2 linked regions of the Tribolium castaneum genome follow. The protein of the gene in region 2 purifies or fractionates together with the protein of the main gene of each other region. This does not show direct contact. Links are inferred from orthologs where the notes say so. Each region holds a gene or a part of one and is shown on either strand. Other genes may lie near its edges.

Region 1 (4,069 bases), about 31 Mb from region 2:
TTGATTTGTTAGTTCAAACGTCAAAAATAAATTATATAATATATTCTTTTTATTAGGGTTGTCCAAATTAAAAAAATATAGTAATATCAAAAATAAAATATGAGCTCAGAATAAATTATGCACACGCAATAAGTGTCAAAAAGTCAGTAGCAAATTGTACCCAACTGTACTAGAGCTGTCTAAAATTTAAAAATATGTCAATAGTACACAACACAATCATATATGAAAACAGATTTATCTAGGGCTTTTCAAACTTTAAAACAGCAAAATTATCCATTTTTTAATATTGGAAAGTGAAAAAATAAATGAAAAAAGCTTGACTAAGTGCCAAATTGCTTAATAAGGGTTGTCCAAATTTGTATAAACGTCCGAATTCCGAGTAAATCCAAAAGGAAAAGTGCAATTATGGTCAATTTAGTGAAAACGTGTGCCGATTTAAGTCCGCAAAGTCGCTTCAGAGAAGCAATCATCAAATCAATTACCGTTTGTTATTTCTTGCGAATGTCTTTATCAGCAGCGCTTCCAAAAACCGCGTCGATGTCAGAGATTTCATTCATTAAAGCGACGATATCGTGCCATTAGCGAGTAATTCCGGGAAAATGAATTTACCAGCGATAATAATCGAGCAGGCGACGCTGTAATTGAAACATGAGAAGGTCGGAGGTTATCTGTTTGTTTCGCCTGTCATTTGTCATCCTCATCACTACGTCAATTTATCACCCTTACCCCAGTCCGTCGTGGTTGAGCTTGAGGTTCTCGATGGAGATGTTGAGCTCGTTGAAGGCCCTGAAGGGCAGGTCGTCCAGCTTGCTGAAGGAGATCTTGAGCGAGACGCGGTCCTCGGGCGCGAAGTGGCCCTTGAGGAGGCGCACCACCTGGTCGTAGGAGGTCATCTTGTCGCAGTGGATGGTGGTGAGCTTGGTGGAGTCCATGCGGCAGGTGCAGGGCGCGATCTCCTTCCACATGGGGCAGTGGGGGATGCCCACGGAGAGGCCCAGGATGGAGAGCAGCAGGGCCGACATGGTGAAGGCGGTTGTCATCGGAGGAGGCCCTTGGTGTTGGCTTTGAGCCGGTCAATGTGTGACTGAGTGACGGTGGCGCCTAAATTTTCTTGAGTGGAGCGCGGCGCCACTGCCCGCCATATCTCTAGCGGTGTCCCCGGGGTACAACGTGTGTGCAACTCCACCAAGATAATTAGATGCATTCGGCCAGAACGAGATTTATTATTGCGAGGAGGACGTGGCGCCCGACGAACGACTGCACTTCCTCATTTAGATTGGCGCCGAAGCCGCAGGCCCTTCTTACCTTACCTTCACACACTTACCCAACAAACCCTTGGACGCGCAAACGCTCACTACCTAGTGCTCAGTGGTAAGTGGGTTTTTTTGTGTCAGGATTTTTTCGATGCCGACTGATGGAAACGTAAGTATTAAGTTTTATTTTCCTTAGAAAAATACAGGTGACCAAAAAATTACCAACACAGGCTGTCCCATGTAAATGTAAGAAAATTTATTTTTTTTCATTAATCCAAAATTATTTTCAAGTAGGCATACAAGATGTTTTTGAGATTTGCTACAATTCAAACTTACGAGTATGTTTTTTTTTAATGGAATTGCATTTATGGGTGTAGCTTTTAATATTGATGTTTCTAAACTAATTAAAGTCACTTTGTGCTTTATCACCATCCGAGAGATTTTTTGAATCTACCTGCATGTATATAGTATATACAGCGTGCTCCAAAACTGGCGCACCAACTCAATGGTGTGTGGTAGAGAAGTGGTTACATATAATGGTAAAAATAGTAAAAAAACTATTTGTATTAAAGTTATTGATAAATAACGAATTTTAAATAAGTGATATGTGGCAACGTTGCCCAACAGTCGTGATCGTAATAGAATTTGAGCAACAATAAAAATAAATTATTTTTGAAACGGTTTCCTAGGAAATAATTCCCAGTGTTGGCACATCTACACATTGTGATTTTTTGGATGAATTTTAAATTAAAAAAACTGCTAAAATCTGATAGTAAATTTTAAAATAATTATTCATCGTTTTGTTACGGAACGATTACCTGGTATGAAACATAAAAATATAAAAAAACAATGAAAACTAAAGAAGTTAACACAATAAGTTTGTAGCTCCAGATTTTTTAAAATATAACTTTGGGAATTTTTTCAACATTTTTCCCGTAATATGGACTTGCTTCTCAATAACGTACCACTGAGTTGGTGCGCCAGTTTTTGAGCACCCTGTAGCCTGTACAGGATGTTCCAAGTTTTATGGCCAAAAATAAATATAAACAATAGCGAATTAATTATGCTACCTTTTGATACTTTAATATTGTTTAGTTCAAAGTTTTAAGGTATTGTTGTCATTATTAAAACCCAATTTTCTGAAAAATTGTTTTTAAGTTATTGGTGTTTTTTTTAATTTGGCAACATTTAGTAATGTTACATGGTAATACTTTTGGTTAATATTTTTTTAAATGTATAAAAATAGGTGTACTTGTACGGCGTTGCCATTTTTTGTTTTTAATTTCAGCCAAATGAAAGGTTTTGTGATTTTTTTATCGAAAATAGTGTTCTGTATAGCTCCATCTAGCTGCTCTTAAGAGCCTATCCACGACTTTTGACCCACCCGATATAATCAGTTAATCGCAGAATTAAGATCTTTGAAATTAAATATTTCTATTTCTATTTCTATTTCTATTTCTATTTCTATTTCTATTTCTATTTCTATTTCTATTTCTATTTCTATTTCTATTTCTATTTCTATTTCTATTTCTATTTCTATTTCTATTTCTATTTCTATTTCTATTTCTATTTCTATTTCTATTTCTATTTCTATTTCTATTTCTATTTCTATTTCTATTTCTATTTCTATTTCTATTTCTATTTCTATTTCTATTTCTATTTCTATTTCTATTTCTATTTCTATTTCTATTTCTATTTCTATTTCTATTTCTATTTCTATTTCTATTTCTGTTTCTGTTTCTGTTTCTGTTTCTTTTTCTTTTTCATACTTAATTATTTTTTTTACATGTGAATTTTTGTAGAATTTTTCTACGATTAATATTAATTCGCTTCATAAAATTATAATTCTAAAACGAACAATGAACGATGAATGTTGTTTAGTGCATAAAAAAAATGACACTAGTTCCAAAAGATAATTAATCAATTCAAAAAACCCAACGTAGTGAGCCGAATTATTATTAAATAGTAATATGAATTTTTATTATATTTTTTTTCTAAACGTGCAAAAATATAATATAAAAAACAACACATTTAGCTAGGACTAGGTCATATCAGAAAACATTACATTATTGTGAATATTTTTTATTATAAAAATTAACACTAACAAATCATAATTTGTTAAACCATTTTCTATTTAATCAAGTCATCCTGACATTATTGCCTAAGCATATAAAGTACATACTTTTGCTGTTTAATAAATAAAATAAGCTGAGTTCCGTCATAAATAAAATCATACGACGTATCATCTATATCAATAATTTAGATTAAGCAATATATTTTAATAATATTTAATTTAGGAATGGTCGAAAAATTCTGAAAACATTCACAATTTTTAGTATTATAGTTTCCGAGAAAAACGCAAAAATTATGACATTTTTTTCACTTTTCAAACGCTGATTACGGCGAAACTAAAAGGTCTAGGAGCGTCTTATTCCACCTTCTCATCTTCCATTATAAGTTGTCTAAAAAAATAAAAATACAAAATAAAAAAATATGTAAAGATTTTTGACCTAATTTGTACATTTCTGGATTTTGTGAGGGAATCTTGCAAAACAATCAGTTTTTGTTCAAATAATCTAAAAAAAAAATTTTATTCGAATAAATTTTGCGAAATGTTTCTCTGTTTCTCACAATTATTTTTGAATAAATTTCACTTCAAGCGAAATTAATCGAAAAAATTTTGCCATTTTTGGTCTATTTTAATGACTTTAAGGCTTCTTTTTAAGAGTATTTTGTGAAATAATAAGGTTTCTGACTGGAATGTGCGTTAAAACAATTGAAAAAAACAAGTGCTAGACTAAATGTGCTCTTTTTTT
Region 2 (4,132 bases):
CGTCGCCCAAGTCCAGAAGGACAGGTTGAACGGACTCCTCGGAATCAGACTCCTCACTAAATGGGGCTGTGTGAGACTTTCCACGACTGTTTTCCGGCAATTCATTCGCATCAGCCATTATCATACACGCTCAAAATAAATAAACGTCAACTTTTGTGATGCTGTCAAGTGTCAGTTTTGTCAACTGCGAGCGCGCCTACTAATTCGAATTAGAAATTGATAAAATTTTCAAAAATACAAGTTTATTTCAACCTCTAGTCGTTAGTCAGGGTTCTGTTGTTGTGTCATACGCCCTAACAGATCATTACCATTTTCTGAAACCGATGATTTGTATATTGACAACTAAAGGTTGGTACTGCTTAGAGAATTCTTCCCGAAAAAAATACTGGACTATGAATTAGTACTGCCAACGTAACACTTGCGCAAAGGTGAATCCAAAAAAATTCTTTTGAAATCAAATAATTTATATTTGTTTAATAATAAAATTTAACAACTTAAAGTATCATCCACAAGAATCTGAAAATAATAGACACTCCTAACACAACTAGGGTGATTAGCACCCTCACATCGTCCGTTTTCTTCAACTTGACTCCCGAAACTTCGCCGTGTTGTAATGGCTTGGCAATTCCAGGCATGACCTGGCTTAGGGGTTCCCCCGTCATTGAGAATTTCGTCGCACTCACAATTTTCACAGTGACCAGCTTCCCCATGTACTTCTCATCTTTCGGCACCAAAACTTGCTCGTAAAATTTGTTATGCCCCACGTAATGTTTCTTATCGTGGGACACTTCCGTTACTAGCACCTCCTGTACTTCCCCTACTTTCTTATCATACGGCTGATACGAATAAAACAAATCGGTCAACCGCTTAGTTCTGCCTTTCACTTCTTGCGCTGGTATTCTCGGAAGCAGAGCCGCCGGTGTGCCAGGCCTTGGGAAGAACTGGTTGATAAATAAACTAGGGAACTTGTATTTTTCGCATAGGGATAAAGTGTCTTCAAAATCTTTTTCCGTTTCTGTGGGAAATCCACAGATTATGTCGGTGGCAATCGTCATGCCTGGGATTTGCGATTGGAGGAAATCAACAACGTGTTCAAAATCTTTTCGGAAGTATTCGCGTTTCATGTCGGAGAGGACTTGGTCGCTTCCGGATTGGACTGGAACGTGGAGAAAACTGTACACACGGGGGTGGTTCATTATTTTTGCAACTTCTGATAAGTGTTCGAGGATGTAAGGGGGGTTGGTCATCCCTAATCTCAAGCGACAGCCTTCAGGAATTACTTCGACAAGCTTCCAAAGCAGCTCCGGGAGCGAAGTCCCGATGTCCCTTCCATATGTGCCTAAAATAAGCCAGAATTAAATTTCAGGCCAAAGTGCGACGACAGTTTTTTTTGAAGGACTTGTCTTCACTCTGCTCGTCACATTGCAAACATTTACGATTCTTTAATAGATAAACTCAGTTGTTAGAACAACTCTAGCTAGAACCTAACAAGAACTGGGTAAAATATGTACTCTAATTTTTATTGTAACAATTATTTTAACGATATTTTGCAAAATATTTGCAATTCTATTTGAAAAACCTGCAAAAACGCAAAAACAAAAATATCATTTTTGTCCCAATGCAGTGATTATTAAGTTTGTTACTTCTGCAATGAAAAATATTTGGGGAAAAACATATATTCGGGTTTTAAACGTTGCCATAGCTCACTATGATGCAAAATTAAATACCTGTATCTTCCGACGTGAGCCATATCTCAACAACACCCTCTTCAAAAGCTTGTTTCGCCCTTTCCACGATCTCTTCAGGTGGATAACTTCCTAATTCCCCCCTGGCATGTTTAGTTTTACAGTAAGTACACTGATTTAAACACCCTGTATTGATAGCAATAATTTCAATCAAGGGATTTCGCCTAACTTTAGGCAACAGCAAAGAAGCACCCCCAATTTTTTTCCCTTGTTCTTTTTTTGTACCCAACAATTTGACCGTATTTCCCTTCAAAGTCTCCTCAACAACTTCCACAACTCTGTCAATTTGCTGCACCCCTATAATGCTAAGACCTTGAATGAAGGAGGCTTTAGGGGCGCCCTGCGGGACACAACCGGCCACAACAATGTACTTTCCTAGTTCTTTGGCCTCTTGAATTTGATTTCTGTAAAAATTATTGAAAGATTTTATCAATAATGTGGTAAAAAAAAATTACCTAAAGTGATCCTCAGCTGGGTTTTTGACTGTACAACTATTGAGTAACCAAAGGTCGGCCTCTTTTTTGTTTTCGGTCAATTTGTAACCGTAAGCAGTCAACTGACCAGCCATGTACTCAGTGTCTGAGCTGTTGTGGGCACAGCCCCACGTTTTAATGTAAATTTTTTGAGTCCCTGGAATATTTTCACCGCTGACTGGCTCCACATTTTCAATCTTTTTGTCCTACAAACAAATGCATAATTTTTGCCGAACTTTAAGACACAAATTTTACCCTCTTTTTAGCTTTGACTTTAACGTTTTTACGCGAACTGTATCGTTCTTTCGGTGTTATGTCTTGAGCGGATACAAGGTCCTCAATGTCGTCGATTATTTCGGCACATGGGGCCGAAGGATTTAAATCGCTGTTTATCAAATAAAAATACAATTTAGTTGAAACATAATAGGCCTAAAAAAATACCTGTTTTCTGCTATCATTGTGTAATTACGTGGCACTTGAAAGTAATTTTATGCTTTTTGCATTCAAACCCTTTGTTCTTTTCGATTTGTTGTAAAAAAACTGTTGCAAACTGACACGAGTTCTCGAATATTAGGTTATATTTGCCCGAGTTTTAGGTTATGAAATGTGTCAAAAAAATGGAGATGTCAAAATAAGGGATGTTTTTTTAATTACTCGTTAATTTTACAATTTGATGTAATTTCCACCAGGAATTGGATGTAAATGACAAACGTGTGATCTACCAATACACTTTTGGACACAAATTATTAGAATTTTTTAGGTTATGACCGGAATAACAAAGGCACAAAAACGCAAGAACGGTGAAAAGAAAAATAACGATGTGAAAGAAACACCAACACCTTAGTACGATTTTTATTATTCCACGTTAAGCGTTCTGATCTTTTGTACATTTTAGCCGTTATGGCCCCATGCCAAAGTTCCCAAATCAGCGCATTTGGAGCCGAGGTATTGTCATATTAGGAGTTCTCTTATACGTTTGGTACACGTCAAAGGATGGCAAAGAAGTGTCGTTGGCGAAGCAAAAGGATATTTTACCCATGAGGGGGCAAACGGTGGACTGTGACACCAAATATTTGGATGAAATTAAACAATTCCCCACTTGTGTTCCAATTAAATGCGGGAGGTTTGTCTCCGATAAACTTGTCACAATTAACGAAGCAGAAACTCTGCTAAATGTGGCCAAGAAAGGAATCAGTCTAGGGGGCTCCTCTGGAGGCGCTTCAATCTTGGACATCCACTCAGGTGCCCTTTCGTTTGGGGAGAAATTTGTAAATATTTACACCCTGAAAGGGTCAGAAAAGTTCATCACAGCGTCGGATTTAGCAATTTATAAAATTGTCAAAAATAAGATCAAACATGCAATTGCTGAAAATTTCGGTATAGACAGTGAAAGTCTGTACTTGACGCATCCAACTTTTTTTTCGAAATTGTCCAACTTGGAGTCAAAGACGCCCCACGATGAGTATTGGCACATTCATGTGGACAAGGTGCCTATTTTAATTTATCAAAGTTAGTTTTCAAATATTTTTTTCAGGAAACTTATGAGTCATTTCATTACACATCGTTGTTGTATCTCACGGATTTTTCTAACGATTTTAAAGGAGGACGTTTCGTGTTTGTAGACGATGCCGAGAAACCGATGAAAAATGTTACAGTAGAGCCCAGGAAAGGAAGAGTCTTGATGTTCACCTCAGGTGCTGAGAATCCCCATTTTGTCGAACGAGTGACTTCTGGTGTTAGGTACGCAATTACCGTTTCGTTCACTTGTGACAAAACAAAGTCAATCAGTGATCCAGCAGCACATTAGCTAGTCAGTAAGTAATTAGAGTACTTAAACATTCCTCAGTATAAGTAATGGTTCGAATAATCGAGGCCGCACTGTAGTTACTGTAGATAACTGTTATTTGCCCTGTA

What was found. The genes of interacting proteins can lie anywhere in the genome.
Region 1: the proteins of threonylcarbamoyladenosine tRNA methylthiotransferase (region 2) and galla-2 purify together in Homo sapiens (affinity purification with mass spectrometry; 3 studies listed by BioGRID and IntAct, with this or other methods). This does not show direct contact. The link is inferred for Tribolium castaneum from reciprocal best matches to the Homo sapiens genes CDKAL1 and CIAO2B.

Annotation. Positions count from the first base shown.
Region 1 is NC_087394.1:1,674,520-1,678,588, reverse strand, and holds the start of galla-2 (MIP18 family protein galla-2), read left to right. Parts: upstream 1-1,269; 5' UTR 1,270-1,404; coding exon 1,405-1,422; intron 1,423-4,069. Other genes in the region: ltl (insulin-like growth factor-binding protein complex acid labile subunit), read right to left, coding at 727-1,040.
Region 2 is NC_087394.1:32,857,735-32,861,866, reverse strand, and holds threonylcarbamoyladenosine tRNA methylthiotransferase, read right to left. Parts: upstream 2,801-4,132; 5' UTR 2,677-2,800; coding exon 2,660-2,676; intron 2,604-2,659; coding exon 2,474-2,603; intron 2,425-2,473; coding exon 2,201-2,424; intron 2,150-2,200; coding exon 1,728-2,149; intron 1,340-1,727; coding exon 495-1,339; 3' UTR 444-494; downstream 1-443. Other genes in the region: l(3)04053 (endosome-associated-trafficking regulator 1), read right to left, coding at 1-124; 2-oxoglutarate and iron-dependent oxygenase domain-containing protein 3, read left to right, coding at 2,921-2,929, 2,979-3,061, 3,114-3,705, 3,753-4,025. UniProt on the Homo sapiens protein: Catalyzes the methylthiolation of N6-threonylcarbamoyladenosine (t(6)A), leading to the formation of 2-methylthio-N6-threonylcarbamoyladenosine (ms(2)t(6)A) at position 37 in tRNAs that read codons beginning with adenine.